2 linked regions of the Arabidopsis thaliana genome follow. The protein of the gene in region 1 interacts with the protein of each later gene in a pairwise test. Each region holds a gene or a part of one and is shown in the gene's direction. Other genes may lie near its edges.

What was found. Proteins that work in one complex are often made in the same cells at the same time.
Region 2: the proteins of SLK2 (region 1) and MYB84 interact in a two-hybrid assay, tested with the Arabidopsis thaliana proteins (one large-scale study listed by BioGRID).

The regions. Positions count from the first base shown.
Region 1 is NC_003076.8:24,932,410-24,943,008, reverse strand, and holds SLK2 (SEUSS-like 2), read left to right. Parts: upstream 1-3,769; 5' UTR 3,770-4,089; exon of another isoform or gene 4,090-4,386; 5' UTR 4,387-4,468; coding exon 4,469-5,392; intron 5,393-5,487; coding exon 5,488-5,619; intron 5,620-5,730; coding exon 5,731-5,779; intron 5,780-5,885; coding exon 5,886-6,100; intron 6,101-6,186; coding exon 6,187-6,255; intron 6,256-6,346; coding exon 6,347-6,447; intron 6,448-6,636; coding exon 6,637-6,730; intron 6,731-6,813; coding exon 6,814-6,883; intron 6,884-6,991; coding exon 6,992-7,788; 3' UTR 7,789-8,047; downstream 8,048-10,599. Other genes in the region: AT5G62110 (Homeodomain-like superfamily protein), read left to right, coding at 1-93, 614-670; BAG2 (BCL-2-associated athanogene 2), read right to left, coding at 1,234-1,539, 1,750-1,896, 1,992-2,248, 2,352-2,532; AT5G62080 (Bifunctional inhibitor/lipid-transfer protein/seed storage 2S albumin superfamily protein), read left to right, coding at 8,609-8,882, 9,198-9,211; IQD23 (IQ-domain 23), read left to right, coding at 10,558-10,599. UniProt on the Arabidopsis thaliana protein: Probable transcription regulator that functions in the development of the carpel margin meristem similarly to SEUSS (SEU).
Region 2 is NC_003074.8:18,423,876-18,430,538, forward strand, and holds MYB84 (myb domain protein 84), read left to right. Parts: upstream 1-3,859; 5' UTR 3,860-4,065; coding exon 4,066-4,201; intron 4,202-4,336; coding exon 4,337-4,466; intron 4,467-4,558; coding exon 4,559-5,225; 3' UTR 5,226-5,406; downstream 5,407-6,663. Other genes in the region: BCAT3 (branched-chain aminotransferase 3), read left to right, coding at 88-267, 373-504, 596-694, 772-888, 1,080-1,175, 1,278-1,390, 1,481-1,598. UniProt on the Arabidopsis thaliana protein: Transcription activator. Positively regulates axillary meristems (AMs) formation and development, especially during inflorescence.

The DNA.
Region 1 (10,599 bases):
ACTGATATTCCAGAACAAGATGTTGAGATTTTGACTGATGTTCCTGAACAAGGTGTTACAGATTTGACTGATGTTCCATTGACATTTGATCAGGTAATCTTTTAAATTTTTACAATAATAATTTTAGTTATAAGTTGTATTCTAGTTTTATTGAAGTCTACGTAATTTTGAGTTTTGAAATATACTTACAAACGATTGATATAAAAAATATGGTTTTATTGAAGTCTACGTAATTTATCGAAATTGGTTTGATATATATACAATGATATAGCAAATAATTGATGTTTGAATATTAATTGCATAGGAGGAACAATGTGGTGCAGATTTGATAGATGTTTCATTGCCATTTGATGATGTATTTAAACTTTTACAATTCTACTTTAATAAAGTTAATTTTGGTTATAGTTCTCATCAAAATTTATTGAATCCTAGAAAATTCTTACTTTTTGAGAAAAAAAACTATAATGATACACCGATGCCATATTTTCATTTTTATATCAATTATAGAAATATAAAGAGTCTAATAGTATTTGTAGTCTATGAAATGTCACGTGTGTACTAGATCTAATTTCTTATAGCAAATTCATTTACTAGTTTATGTTTTCTGATACAGGATTGGAAGGATGATGGCCTCATGAACTTTATGCTGGATGTTGACGACATGTTTTAAGAAAATCTTTTAATTTTGCTTTTGAAAGTATCAGATTAATATTTGATAACTTTGTTATGTTGTTTAAGATTTTATTTAAAATTTGGATGTTGTTTTGGTTTAAGATTGTTTTCAATTTTTGACGTTGTTTTTGTCATCATGACTCATATTCAATTTGGATGCTATTTAAGTAATTTGTGAATTTCGTAGATGTTTACATGCATATCACTGATTGAATGATTGCATTTGTAGATATATGTTTGGAATCGTAAACCAAATTTTATTTTTATATTTAAAATAAAATGCTACAACTCTTAACAGTTTATTTTAATCATTTCAAAACCTTCGTTCTCTCCCTTTTGCCATCTACTCGCATACTTTTTTTAATCCACATATTTTCTTTTAAATAGTAAATACTACATTGTTTTTAGTATATCACAACAACAAAATTTGATAATGTAACATAAACGACCAATCACAAATCATATACAACTAGACAAAAATAATCACATATGTTACACCTTACAATAAATCTGAAAACTAAGTATAGTATATTATATTATCGTGTAATTAATATCTAGATATTAATTGAATAATTCCCATTTAAATTTTGGGTGAACCGGTCTAACGGGTTGTAGGGTTGCCGTGGAGGCTGAACTAGAATCAAACGTTTCCCATCTTGTTGTTATGATCACCGGAGGACTTGATGAGGAGGCCGTCGGTTTCCTTGACGCCTCCTCGTAAAATGTCAGCATTTCCCGTTCCTTGTATTGCGGCTTTGGTTTCGTTTGCGGTTGCCTTGAGTTCTTGATCTTCAACAAGTCGAGAGCCTCAACATACTTGTGTAATCTTTCCTCCTTCCAACAATTTGTAAATCGAATCATTAGATTCTAACTATACATAAAAAATAATAATTGTCAAAGCGACTTCAAAAACTTGAATAACAAGACTTTATGGGTATGATTGGTAATTACTTATAGAATGGTTCCATAATTCTGCAAATTTATGAATAAAAATTAATAGAGTTGTGTCATCTAGAATTCTAAGTAAAATGAAGAATTAGATTAGTAACAGTGAGTAATAAAACATGATTTAAGTACCTGCATCTTCTTCTTCAATTTAACGTCTCCATCACCTGAGATGGCATCGAGCTTGACCAATTGATTCATCAACATCTCCATCAAATTCTCAAGATTCTTCTCTTCAACTTTCCCTCCTTTACCAATCACTGTATCAAACGCCGACAGCTAAAGTCCAAAAACCAAAAAAAACAATTCTGATTCAAGTTACGAGACAAGAGCGTTGTTATCCGGAAAATTTAAAATTATGTTTCTTAAGTTACTTGTCCGGCGAGTCTTTCGACTTGGAAACTAATATCAGAGATTGCTTTAGATGATTTCTCTTTGGTGGCGATTTTCCTCAACTCAAGGAGACGTTTCTCCTGAGAAATGGGATCTTCTATAAGAATAAGTTTCGAACGATCTTTGACACCAGAAAGATCAAGAAACATCTTTGAGTCTCTTTCTTTGTCTTTGTATATAATCTGCATGTCTTGATGATGAACTCCTGTCGCACCAGACAATATCTTCTTTAATTCCCCTGTTGTTAAATTCAACAACAACAACAATCAAATTCCAAAAACAGAGCATACTAATAGTATAAAGGAAATACTGTATAACTCGGAATGTTTTGTGTCGTTTACCGAAAGTAGATTGAGAGTTGATACTGATCTCGTGATGGACCGACCCGTATTTGACCCGAACCCGAATGCCACGTGGCACGCTTGAGCTATGATCCGTCCTTTTCTGTACAACCATTCCTCCAGGTCGGAGCTCCATTTCACCGTCGCCGGAAGTTGTTGTTCCGATACTCATTTTCATCATTTTCTTTATTAAGAGAGATAGAGAGAAAAAAACAGAGGAATGATGAGATGAAGTTGATTTCTGAAAAAGATCAAGAAGAAGAAGAAGAAAAAAGAAACGTCTGAGCAAAGAGAAGTAAATACACTTTGTTTTGTAATAAATTAATGTTTCTGTTTCTGGACAGAACTCGTGGAAGAAGAAGAAAGATAAGAATCATATAAAGCAGATTATTGTTTTATAAAATTTTATACAATGAGAAAAAAAAGTTAAAGAAAAGAGTGACAGCTAATGTGATTGTTGTTATGTCTCATTATCAGTCCATCACAGATACATATATTTAATATAAATGTTGTATCCCCCACATATTTATTTCTATTTCTGATAAATAATGACGATATATTAATGTCGTTGTTACATTTATATTTATTTGTCATCGTTCTTCTGTATTTTATAAGTCGTGTTCTACGTTTCTAAGTACAGGTAAGCTAATGAAATAACTGAAACAGAAACTTGTGTTACACGTCACGCCTTTAACTCCGACAAACTCTGCAACTTAAAAATCTCTCTTTCTTGCAGATCCACATTGTCTAGAATTATCGTCGGTGTTGTGTGTCTTCTTGCCAAGTTTTGAATGATCCATGGACCGTACGGACCACACACGAGCTTTCTTTGATCATTTCTTGAACAAGCTAGTGCTTTAGAGACAGAGACACCGGTTAGGTTTGACCTCAAGACTGTTCGAGAACAGAGCTTTGAACGGTTGGAGAACAGAGTATAATTATTTATGGGCTAATAATGGGCCTAAAAATACTGAAATAGGCCTGTTGGGTCGTAGCTCCATATAGTTGGATGATCTTGTCGAAATATTTTAGGGGTTGAATTGTCAAAGGGAGTAATATTGGGGTCAATAAGTAATCATGCAAAAAAGAGGATATTTGTCGTAAGCCCACTCATTTACAGCTGCAATCATTGGTACAGTTATTACAAAAAAATAAAATAAAAAACATAATTTGGTCAATCAACTTTAAACTACACGCGTCGCACACGATCCATGCTCTCAATCGAACGATCCACAATTGATTTAACTTTATTGATCGCAAGGTCAAGAATATGCCACGCAATCAAAACAGCTAAAGGTTACCAATCGGTCATACGATACTTGTTACGATAAACAAGACACGTGTCAGTATTGACTAGCGGGTAATAAAAAGTACTTGCAAAACCATAAGCAGATGGGTCACCGGCTTGTCCGGTCAGATTTGGTTCTTACGATTTCCTCTAGGTATATTAACAAAGGCGCGTCAAGTTCATTGCCTAGTTCCAGCTCTCTCCAGGATTTTCCTTTTTTTTATGCAAAAACAACAAACACAAAATAAATAAGAAGATTGTTTATTTTAACTTTATATTACAGCTTGAAATTTCCAGGCAAATTTTTTTCCTTCTTCTTCTTCTTCTTCTTGTCTCATTAATTATCTTCCTCTTCTTCTGTTTCAATTCAGCTGGGTTTAGTTTTAATTTCTAGTTGTGATCTCTCAGCTTTTGTTCTATATTGATCGAAGCTCCACTTAACAGTTCTTCGTACGTTGTTTCCGTGTTCTTCGCTTTTTTATTTTGTAATTTAATTTCGGTTGCTTTTTAAATATCTAACTCCGAGATTTTTAAGGGATTGCTATCTATTTTTTTTTTTTTTGGGGATTGGTTAGTTTCTCGGTTAGTTATGTTAAGTAACGAACTTTAAAATTAGGGTTTTGATTTGGTTTTTTTTTTATTTCAGTGGTTAAGTTCAATGTCTGTGTATCTTTAATAACGCACCAGATTCATGTGTTAGGGAATGTTATTGATCTGATTTTAATCGATACATGTATAATGTTGTAGGTATCAGTAGTAAAGGTGGGACATTTGTGTCGCATTGAGGAAGAAACTTTGGATTTCAGACTCACTTGGGACCTACCCTTTAATGGCTTCTTCAACTTCTGGGATTTTCTTTCAAGGAGATGATGAATCTCAAAGCTTCATTAACTCTCACTTGACTTCCTCTTATGGGAATTCATCTAACTCTGCTCCTGGATGTGGTGGACCTACTGGTGGCTATCACAATCTCAGTATGGTTTCTGGTGATATGCATAATCCGGTTATGATGAGTGTTTCAACACCCGGTCCAAGCGCAGGAGCTAGTTCGCTTGTCACAGATGCTAATTCAGGGCTCTCTGGAGGTGGTCCTCATTTGCAGCGTAGTGCTAGTATCAATAATGAGTCATATATGCGTTTACCGGCGTCTCCTATGTCGTTCTCTTCTAATAATATCAGCATATCTGGTTCATCAGTTGTAGATGGGTCGACTGTGGTACAACGGCATGATCCTAGTGTTCAGCTAGGTGGCTCTAGTGCTACATCACTGCCTACATCACAAACTAATCAAATCCCGCTTTCTATGGCTCGGCGTGCTTCTGAATCGTTCTTTCAGGATCCAAACAACTTAACTCAAGCACGGAAAAAACCTAGATTAGATTCAAAGCAGGATGATGCTTTGCAGCAGCAGATTTTACGTCAGTGGCTTCAGAGACAGGATATATTGCAGCAGCAGCAGCAACAACAACAACAAGGCCAAAATCCACAGTTCCAAATCTTGCTTCAGCAACAAAAGCTGAGGCAACAGCAACAATATCTCCAGTCCCTCCCACCATTGCAACGGGTTCAACTGCAGCAGCAGCAACAAGTGCAGCAACAGCAACAGTTGCAGCAGCAGCACCAACAGCAACAGCAACAGTTGCAACAACAAGGAATGCAAATGCAACTAACCGGTGGGCCAAGACCTTATGAAAATAGCGTTTGCGCTCGAAGATTGATGCAGTACCTATATCATCAGCGACAAAGGCCTTCTGTGAGTGTGCATGTAGTCGTCAAATTTTTTGTTTTATGTGTATTCTAGAAAAAAGCTCTTGACAGATACCAGTCGTGTCATTGCTGATTTTGTAGGAGAGCAGTATTGTTTACTGGAGGAAATTTGTGACGGAGTATTTTTCTCCCCGGGCAAAGAAAAGATGGTGTCTTTCTCATTATGATAATGTGGGGCATAGTGCACTTGGTGTTTCTCCTCAGGCAGCCACGGTTTGTTTCCCTGACTCTTTGTTTTTTTTGGTTTCATACTCTTTATGCTGATCTTACGGTGTAGTTACAAATAGGTTACTTATTCTTGCTTTTTGTATTTTCCATTTGCAGGATGAATGGCAGTGTGATCTATGTGGTTCTAAATCGGGAAGAGGATTTGGTAAGTTCCAATTTGCTTATACCCTGATGAAGAAGAGGGAAATTTCAAAAATGTTTATGGTAGCAAAACATCTTCTCTTAGTAACTTTTTCTTATGGATTCTGCAGAAGCAACTTTTGATGTCTTGCCAAGGCTTAACGAAATCAAATTCGCAAGTGGTGTCCTGGACGAGCTTCTTTATCTGGGTGTACCGTCTGAACGCAGATATGGATCTGGAATTATGGTGTTAGAGTATGGAAAAGCAGTTCAGGAGAGTGTGTACGAACATATCCGTGTTGTTCGCGAAGGCCATCTTCGGATTATATTCTCCCAAGAGCTGAAGGTGGTTTAAAGAGCTTTTGATTCCAAATACTTTTAATCATTAATGTGTATTAAAGTAACTTAGCTTATCCTTTTTCCTTTTGCCAGATTCTCTCATGGGAGTTCTGTACTCGTCGACATGAAGAACTACTTCCTCGTCGCCTAGTAGCTCCACAGGTAACATTAATGGTTCTTACAATCTTTGTGACTCTTTTTGAAATCCCTGGTCTTGAGATTTTTTGAATGTCTGCTCCCTATGGTCGTGCAGGTGAACCAATTGCTTCAGGTTGCAGAGAAATGTCAGAGCACAATTGATCAAAGTGGATCAGATGGGATTCATCAACAAGATTTGCAAGCTAATAGCAACATGTGAGTCTTGATGATTCTAGACAATATTTCACTCTCTTTCTTCCATATTTCTCAATCAATTCAATTTCATTGTTTCTTGCATCTTGTACGGTAATTAGGTAAGATTTTTCACTGATGCAAAGAAGATCAAAGCGATTTTAGCTTAATATATACAAATATGATGTACTGATGCCAAGTCTTTTGCTCCAGGGTCATGGCTGCTGGACGTCAACTAGCAAAAAGCTTGGAGTCACATTCACTCAATGACTTAGGCTTCTCAAAACGATATGTTCGGTGTCTGCAGGTATCTCTCTGCCTACTTTCTTGCATTTTCCTGGTGGCGTGTCTCCTTTTTACTGTTTAACTCTTGCCATCTTCTTTAAACAGATTTCTGAGGTTGTCAGCAGCATGAAAGATATGATTGACTTTTGCCGTGACCAAAAAGTGGGTCCAATCGGTAAGTTAATACATAAATCCCAGAGAGTCCCTGAGATTCATCAAAACGCTTTTTTTTTACTTGGCTGTGCTTATAAAAAGCTTTCTTGCTACCTTTTAACATTTGCAGAGGCTTTGAAGAGCTATCCATATCGAATGAAGGCTGGTAAACCTCAGATGCAGGAGATGGAGCAACTAGCGGCTGCCCGAGGGCTTCCACCTGATAGGAACAGTCTCAACAAGCTAATGGCCTTGCGCAATTCCGGGATAAACATACCAATGAACAACATGAGCGGTCAAGGATCTCTTCCCGGCTCTGCACAAGCTGCCGCTTTTGCGCTTACCAACTACCAGAGCATGCTCATGAAACAAAACCATCTGAATTCAGACCTAAACAACACCACAATCCAGCAAGAACCATCAAGAAACCGGAGTGCATCCCCGAGCTATCAAGGAACTAGTCCCTTGTTACCTGGTTTTGTGCATAGCCCATCAATAAGTGGTGTATCTTCCCATCTATCTCCTCAGCGGCAAATGCCAAGCTCCAGTTATAATGGCTCAACCCAGCAATACCACCAACAGCCACCTTCCTGTAGTAGCGGTAACCAAACATTGGAACAACAAATGATTCATCAAATATGGCAACAGATGGCAAACAGCAATGGAGGCTCCGGTCAACAACAACAGTCACTTTCTGGTCAGAACATGATGAATTGCAATACCAACATGGGAAGAAACAGAACAGATTATGTTCCCGCAGCAGCTGAAACACCAAGCACCTCCAACAGATTCAGAGGCATCAAGGGGTTAGACCAAAGCCAAAACCTGGAAGGTATTATCTCTAATACATCGCTCAACTTTGGGAATAACGGGGTTTTTAGCAATGAGGTTGATGAAAGCATGGGAGGATATTCTTGGAAGTCATGAGAGGCATTTTGATAGTTAGCTCCAATGTTGTCTTTGTAAAGAACGAGTTACTAAAGACTAACTTTCTTAGGTATATGAATCTGATGAGGGGGATTCAATGTTAACGTGTCTACTGTGTTGTTGTTCTTTCTTCTTCTTAGATTAAAGCTTCTCTTTTTATGAAGAGGTTTTTCTGGAAAGTGTTACTAATTCTGGAAAAGAAAAAAGACTGTTCTTCAGGAACTCATCGCTATCAATCAATATTTTACCTTTTTTCTTATGACTTTTTTTAAGCCTCGTTTATTTAAAGCTGATACAGTTACAAACATCGGTAACACGTCACAAACAAGCCAGACACATGCTATTTTTTTCTCTGAAATTTTAATAAAATGTATTTGTGACGTGATTTTAAATCATACAAAATTCCACAAATACGGATATGTAATCTTCATCTACTTGCACTAATACAGTAATACTTTTCATCTTCAATATACCAACCATCCTACTATCTACAAGAGATAATTTGTCAACTCCTTTTACCATAGTTAATTTCATATATTACATAATTTTGTATATGAAATATTTTTGCTTTGCACTAAAGAATAAAATAAATAAATAAAAAAACCTTGCACTCAGCGTGGTGGATAGAGAACAGAGTGATTTACTTTCACATGTAAATCTTGTGAACTAACTAGACCATGTGACCATGCCAAACGTCTCCTCAACTCATCTAATTAATCACTCAAAATATACACTCAAAACATTATATAAATGATAAATCTAAACATATGATATCATATACATAGAACTACATCAGATATCTATAGAAACAAACTTATCCATGGCAATAATGGCATCGTTCAAGTCTTTCGCAGCCGTTCTCAGTGTCCTTTTTCTTGCCATGACTGCTATAGAAACGGTAGTTCAAGCCCAAGAATGTGGCAACGATCTAGCAAATGTGCAGGTATGCGCCGCCATGGTGCTGCCCGGTTCAGGCAGACCAAATTCAGAGTGTTGCGCCGCACTTCAATCTACTAATAGAGATTGTCTATGCAACGCTCTCCGTGCAGCCACCTCTCTTCCTTCGCTTTGTAACCTTCCTCCTGTGGATTGTGGTACGGATTTATTTACTTTTAACCAAGAAGTTTGATATTTGGCTCGTTATCCCAAGATGAGGATGAATAAAACAAATCTCAATATATATTTAGTTTTAGTTACCAACATTTTAGACTTGGCCTAATATATGGCCAAACCAAAAAGACTTGGCCTAAGATTCCAAGTAGATTAAGTAGGATAAAACCTCATATATCAGCTCTAGCTAACTCGGCTAATGTAGTAATGTGTTTATTTAATGATATATAGACCTCTATTTCATATCTGTTTCTGAGGTTTTTTTGTTTTTTTGTTTGTTTTGTTTTTGGGTTGTGCAGGTATAAATGCTTAGTTAAGCTACGAGTCAATTCCAAGATGATCAAGGAAAACGGGAAAATAAAGAATAATGAGAAATATTCCAGTCTTATGTTTTTTCTTCTAACTTCTGCTTTACTATAATAAAGTTCTAGTAGTTTTGCTTAGAAATTTAGATACTACTAGTATAATAAAAAGCTTTGATAATTATGAGAATAAAACATTCCCGGTCTGAAACCAAATTATTCTTAAACATGTACGTACGTAAGTCTAGACATCAGAAATAAATTAGATTAGTGACTTGTTTAATATGCATGGAAAATCATGTTAGTTTTCATTGTTGCCAAGCTAACAATGTTTGTTTAAAAGCTAGAAAGTCTAAAAATTGCACCTGACCCCTCTAGTGCTTGTTGCTGAATACGACTTGAGGAGGATAGTATTTATTAGTGGTTATAGACGATCGTTATCACAGCTAGTCTTTATTTTCGAATGTTCCCTATTTGTTTTCCTTTTTCGTAGACTTACTTCTAAACTGCATCCTACTGAACAGTAAAATATAGATAACTAAACAAATAGATAGATGAATAAACGAAGAAAACAACACCTTTCAAAATCGAGGGGTTAATCTAGCTAGTGATTAACAACTTCTCTTTATAGAATTTGAAGTACAAGAAGAATTTGAATTGTGCCACCAGAATAACAACCTATGTAACATTTGTATGGCCTGGATAAAAGATAAACACCTATCATCCACACAAAATATATTTCTGATTTCAAAAACATATTCCATACACATTTGTAAAGTTTGCAGTCATTGTATTGGATTGAAGCAAAGAAAAAAGCTGCCAAATTGCAGAAGTCACAGACACTAGACTGCAGTGAAATTATGGGCTTCAAAGAATGACACGTCCTCCCAATTATTCTCTTTTCTTCATTATTTATTTTTCATACGTTTTCTACATAATTCAAAGATCTAATATTCACTTCACAATTCACATTACAGAAAAAGTTAAATAAAATAAAAAATGACGTAATTGATATTAAATGGTTTGAACAAAACCACAAAGCACAGATCTGGTACGGTTGGTAGGATTAGTCAGGCCCATTGACTTTAACCGACGCCCTTTAGATAAAGTCAAGCTAAGCAAAAAATAAAAAAGCCTTTTAAAATCTCGTGTAACTAACTCGCTGTATGCCGGCGCGTGGAAACGTACTCTGCAATCTATATATAAGCCGTTAAACTCTATTTAGCTTCTCTATAGACAAAAGTTTATGTTTTGTTTTTCCTCTAACACAAAAAACAATCTCAGATATTAAATAAAGTGTTAATCAACCGGAGAACTCTCCGACAAAACCTCGCCGACGATTTTCCGACGATGAAAGATGGGCTTTTTCGGGAGACTGTTCGGGAGTAAAAAAAAGTCT
Region 2 (6,663 bases), on another chromosome or scaffold:
AGTGATGATGAGAAATGCCAAGCAATGTGTTGTGGTAAAGAGTGCAATTTAGGATCACATGAGTCTTATTAGTGTATGTTCTTCTAGGGATTGTTTGAAGGGCTAAAAGCTTACAGAAAGAAAGATGGTAATAACATCCTCCTCTTTCGTCCTGAGGAGAATGCAAAGCGTATGAGAAATGGTGCTGAGAGGATGTGTATGCCTGCTCCAACCGTTGAGCAGTTTGTAGAAGCTGTGACAGAAACTGTACTAGCAAACAAACGTTGGGTAATGAATCACGCAGTTTTTTTTGTCTCCCGATATGCAGAGGAAATTATCTAGATATTTGTTTGCTGTTATGAATTTAACTTGTGTTTGGTGTCTTGTTTTTAGGTTCCACCACCAGGTAAAGGTTCCTTATATGTTAGACCATTGCTAATGGGAACAGGAGCTGTTCTTGGTCTTGCGCCTGCACCAGAATATACTTTCATTATCTATGTTTCGCCTGTTGGGAACTACTTCAAGGTCTTTCAGAGTTACTTCGATCTATTCCAACTATCTAAGATTTGTTGTATGTTTCTCTGAATGATGATACGGATTTATATGATGATGTCAGGAAGGTGTGGCACCTATCAATTTGATTGTGGAGAATGAATTTCACCGTGCAACTCCTGGTGGTACCGGAGGTGTTAAAACCATAGGCAATTATGCTGCAGTAAGTAAAAGCTTATTTCACTTATTGATTTTATTGGACCAGCTTTCGTAACTCACACATACAAGTTATTTATTTAGGTACTGAAGGCACAGTCAATTGCGAAAGCTAAAGGATATTCCGATGTTTTGTACCTTGATTGCATTTACAAAAGATATCTTGAGGAGGTCTCGTCTTGCAATATTTTCATCGTGAAGGTAAATAAAAATCAATCTCTCGGAATCTGATGATGCCTTGTAGAGTCTATAAGATGTCTCTCTTCATAAGACGTAGGAGATGATGAGATTGAGACTCTGGCACCATGTTTTTTTGGGGGCATTCTTACAAACATATCAAGATACTGATTCTCTTACATAATGATTTTTTAACCAACACTTTTCTTTGCCAGGACAATGTGATATCTACTCCTGAAATAAAAGGAACCATTTTACCCGGTATTACTCGAAAAAGTATGATAGACGTGGCTCGAACACAAGGGTTTCAGGTGACCTCTTCCCCTTCTTTAAATTCCCAACATCTTTAAAGTGGATCATAAGTACTATTATTGGCTTCTGATCACAGTGCATGTTTATACGGTATTGTTCAGGTGGAGGAACGGAATGTGACAGTGGATGAATTGTTAGAAGCAGACGAGGTTTTCTGCACAGGAACCGCCGTGGTTGTCTCTCCTGTTGGAAGCGTCACTTACAAAGGCAAAAGGTAAAACGTTTTTTCTTTGTATCCCAATTTAAGTGAAAACCAAACCTACCAAGTGGTAAAGCTTTCCCCTTTTTCCGAATACACACACAGAGTGTCTTACGGAGAAGGTACCTTCGGAACTGTGTCGAAGCAACTCTACACCGTTCTGACAAGCTTGCAGATGGGTCTGATTGAAGACAACATGAAATGGACTGTGAATCTTAGTTAAGCCAGGCGAATGCATTGCATCAATTCGGCTGCTTGGTTTTGCTTTCTTTTCTTTGGTCTGTGGTTCTGATTCGTGAAACTATGAGTTGGATTGTTTAGAATCTGGTTGATCTAGAACTTAGCTGGTTCAAGATCATTAGATGTTGTTGCATCATACCAATAATATTATCTTTAGATCTCTGTTTCTGATTAGATGGTTACATCCAATTATTTCTCTAAAGTCTGAGACATCATTGATATCTAACAATCAAAAACTAAAAAGTGAAGTATTAACATTTTAATCAGATTCAAACCAGAACTTATCAGTCATCAAAAATGTTGGCAAATAACAAATCAAACTTAAGTTTTTGGATGGAGAAAGCAAGCTAGATTCGAATCTCTAAGAAGCGTGGACTTGGACTTGTTTACGACCTGAAAAGATGTCATGATTATCTCATGATTACGAGATAATAACATGTCTTATCTACTAAACTAATCTAAAAAGTAGTGAGGATGACTTGAAACTTAAGTCTTATATGAATTATCTTTAAATATAGAAAAAGAAAGGAGATAGAGAGGTGTGTTTTTCATGTGAACAACTTTTTTTTACCTTTAGAGTACTTCCAGAAGACTTATTGGGTCCTTAATAAAAGTAGACCAAATTATTGAAGAGCTAAAAAAAAATGCCTACTCAAAATATCCAAACCTCTTCTTTTAGCCTTTTGTTTTTTTCAATATTCATACTAATGTAAACTACAATCATTGTATCATTCTATAATCATATGAATTTTTTGTCAACACCATGCATTATGCTAGTTTAAATTTAGGTGATGATATAAAGATATTTTAAGTACAAATCAATAGGGGCGATGTTCTTATGTCTTTATCTAACTTTATGAATTTGTGTTTTATATATTATGAAAAATTGGAAAAGAAGAGATGGCCTACGCTCAAGACCAATTCCTACCAATGGGCAATGGTGTTGAAATCTGAACAAAAAAATTTCCTTTCTTTAACGTTAGCTTTAAAGTTCAAAAAACTTTATTTACTTTTTCAGTGATAATTCTGTATAAAATAACATATAACAATGAGGAAAAAACTCAATAATTTGAATCGCTTATGACTTTATTTCTCCAAGTGCTTGACTTTTAAAACCCTAATGTCCAATCTCAACTAAAGTCAACCTTTTTCGTTCGTCTAGAAGAGTCAGTCATTAAGTTTCAATTGAAGTATACAGTAAATTATTAGTACTTTTTATTTTATTTTAACCACAGTTCATTGGCTGTATGAGATTTCTGTTCAAGAAAACATATAAATCGAAACCAAAGCAAAAGACATTATTTGCTTCGGTTTCTTCTACTCAAGCTCATTTTTAGTAAAACTAAATTGTATTTTCATTTTCTTAAAAAGTTAATTGTTTTTTTTGTAAAATCAGTTTTACCAAATTGGACACAATAATGAATATATGTCTATGTCTAGTTTTTTTTAGCTCAGAATATATCTTATGTGAATAGAATCGTCTATCAGATATTTTTGTGATGCAGATAGAACTTACCGTTATAGAATCATTTGTAGATTGTTCATCGTGATTGTTAAGATTAGATTCCCATTTGTAATATAACAGAAACTCGAAAAGTACTTATATTAAGTATTAACGATGTATCATGTGACCAAAATAGAAAATACTACGTAATGATATGATTATTAAGCGAGTGTGTAGGTAATTCAAATATTTCAATTAATCAATCTTTGATATCACTCTTTAGAGTAATGTATTATCTTTCTTATTGTTTTACCCTGGGATTAATAAGTTTACCGGATCCGGAGTAGAATTTCTTCGGTTTGGCAATTTTGTTCACCTACCATAACGAACTTTTACCCTTATACTTAGTTTCAATCTACTTTTGGTGCATCCTTTCATTTTCAACTGCAAAGAAGTAGTTAAAAGATCCAATACATAATATATTTAATTTATCATAAGTAACTTAGTGTAAAGAAAGACTAAAGTACTTTTTAAAATATGTATTTGTATTTCCCGATGTGAAAGAAAAGAAAATTGAATTTGCACATATCAATAATATTAGCTAGGAAAAAACTTGTGAGAAATTTCTTTGACGACTTGCGTGTGCAATAGTCTTCCTTATCTTCTCTACCATTTCTTAATTCCACTATTGTATAGTATTTACTTATGTTGAATTAATAAATTAAAACATTTAAATTTCCCTAAAGTTACTTTTTGATTTTTGATTTTCTATTTTTATTACAACTTTCCTACTTTTTGACATCTTTTCTTACAAAGACTTTTTGACATCTCCCCCTCCAGCTATTATATAGTCTCCTTTTTTCTTTTCTGCATTCACATAATATTTCCCCTATATAGTTTACACAACATCATACCCACCAACATATATAATCTTGATCATAGAGAGATAAACAGAGGCCGCTATCAAGAACAAGACTAAGAACAAGACTTCACTAGGAGTACAAGTATGGGAAGAGCACCGTGTTGTGACAAAGCAAACGTGAAGAAAGGGCCTTGGTCTCCTGAGGAAGATGCAAAACTCAAATCTTACATTGAAAATAGTGGCACCGGAGGCAATTGGATCGCTTTGCCTCAAAAGATTGGTATTAATAAATTTATAGTCACTCTTTTTCATATAAATTTGATAATTCTCTCTTGATCTATCTCTTTTTTTGTGAAGAAGTATTGATAACTAAAGATGCTTTTTGTTTATATGATTATTTCTTGGTTGTTTTAAGGTTTAAAGAGATGTGGAAAGAGTTGCAGGCTGAGGTGGCTTAACTATCTTAGACCAAACATCAAACATGGTGGCTTCTCTGAGGAAGAAGAAAACATCATTTGTAGCCTTTACCTTACAATTGGTAGCAGGTACTATTCATATACGTTATTCATGTATATATCGTTAAAATATCATGTGGAAACTCTGAAATATAGTTATGTGATGATGTCTATAATTAAAGGTGGTCTATAATCGCTGCTCAATTGCCGGGACGAACAGACAACGATATAAAAAACTATTGGAACACGAGGCTCAAGAAGAAACTCATTAACAAACAACGCAAGGAGCTTCAAGAAGCTTGTATGGAGCAGCAAGAGATGATGGTGATGATGAAGAGACAACACCAACAACAACAAATCCAAACTTCTTTTATGATGAGACAAGACCAAACAATGTTCACATGGCCACTACATCATCATAATGTTCAAGTTCCAGCTCTTTTCATGAATCAAACCAACTCGTTTTGCGACCAAGAAGATGTTAAGCCAGTGCTCATCAAGAACATGGTCAAGATCGAAGATCAAGAACTGGAGAAAACAAACCCTCATCATCATCAAGATTCAATGACAAACGCTTTTGATCATCTCTCTTTCTCTCAACTCTTGTTAGATCCTAATCATAACCACTTAGGATCAGGCGAGGGTTTCTCCATGAACTCTATCTTGAGCGCCAACACAAACTCTCCATTGCTTAATACAAGTAATGATAATCAGTGGTTCGGGAATTTCCAGGCCGAAACCGTAAACTTGTTCTCAGGAGCCTCCACAAGTACTTCGGCAGATCAAAGCACTATAAGTTGGGAAGACATAAGCTCTCTTGTTTATTCTGATTCAAAGCAATTTTTTTAATTATAATAATATATTATTCTTAAGATGAAACGTACATCATTATTATTAATTGGGGGTACGTAACGTATATATGGAATAACGATCTAGTTTGTTTAAATTTATTGATATCTCATATATCTGGATTTGAAATTAACTCTAATATGCAGAAGTATGAACTCATATGCGAAAGATCCTAGCGAAGTAATCACATTTAGATAAACAAAATTTGTTATTGTTACTTTTTTTTTTTTTTTTAAAGTAAGAACGTGTAATATGCATGTATGTATATATGTATGGATGCCTATGTGAAAAGAGTTAACACTTAAGAGTATATTGTGCATGATGTGTTACGTTTCCATTATGTATACAATATGATAATACATAAATTTACACGCATAATATACCTATTGGGCGCAAAGTTATACACATTTTAAAATGGGAAAATATTAATGGTGCTTTTGGGGCCTTGGCATATGAGCTGATTATATATGGTCGGATCCATATGTACGTGGTTGGATGTATTGATTGTATATATGCTTCTTTAATTGATTGTATGTTCATCCTACTTTTTCGAATAATTTATGTTTACCTCAATGTCGGATTGTGCGAAGCATTTAGCTGGAAACCATTGATGTTAATAATAAGTAAGAATTAACATAGATGGATTTATAAGGATATAAGAATTAATACCTAACCATTTGACCAATGAAAAGTTTGGATCACCAAATAAATGAATTGTGTGCAACTCTGAACTTCTCAAAGACATGACCTCTCTATTCCTAGCAAGTCACTAGTCTGTTTCTTATTTCCTCACAGAATCAAATGATGATGTCATACGAAAATTCTCTTTCCCTTACGAGTTTGGCACATTCGTTGCCTATTCAAAAATCAAATCAAATTTAGAAAGTCCTAAAATGACACTGTCGCTTGAAATATACGTATAAAAACTCTCGCTTCAAAAAATCTTTTGTTGATCAAACAATCCATTCAGTACTAGCTAGAAGGCTAGTTAGAAGTAGACTAGACTTCACGGTTCAATTAGATATTATCTTTGATCTTCATATATTCATGACTCATGAGATGATATAGGACAAATGAGATGATATATAGAATTATAGATAACGATTTCAAAGAGTATTACAAAAACAAATGCATCATTTTTTTCTTCTTAAGAGTATTACAAAAGTACTCTCTGAAAGACAAGAATGTTCCAAAACATTCTCTTCAAACAGCAAAATGACAAACATAATTATTCAATTTTTTTTGCCGTTAATTTAATATTCCTAAATCACTCACCAAAATTTCACTAATTAAATAGTAAATATCATATCCTTTTATCACAATCAAGAACCTTATTAAATGCTTTTTACTTGTATATATGAATGTAGCTGAAAGTTTCAAAGTACACTTCGTTATCAAAATTTCAAAATATGTCTTCCAATGAAGTCATAATCTTAAG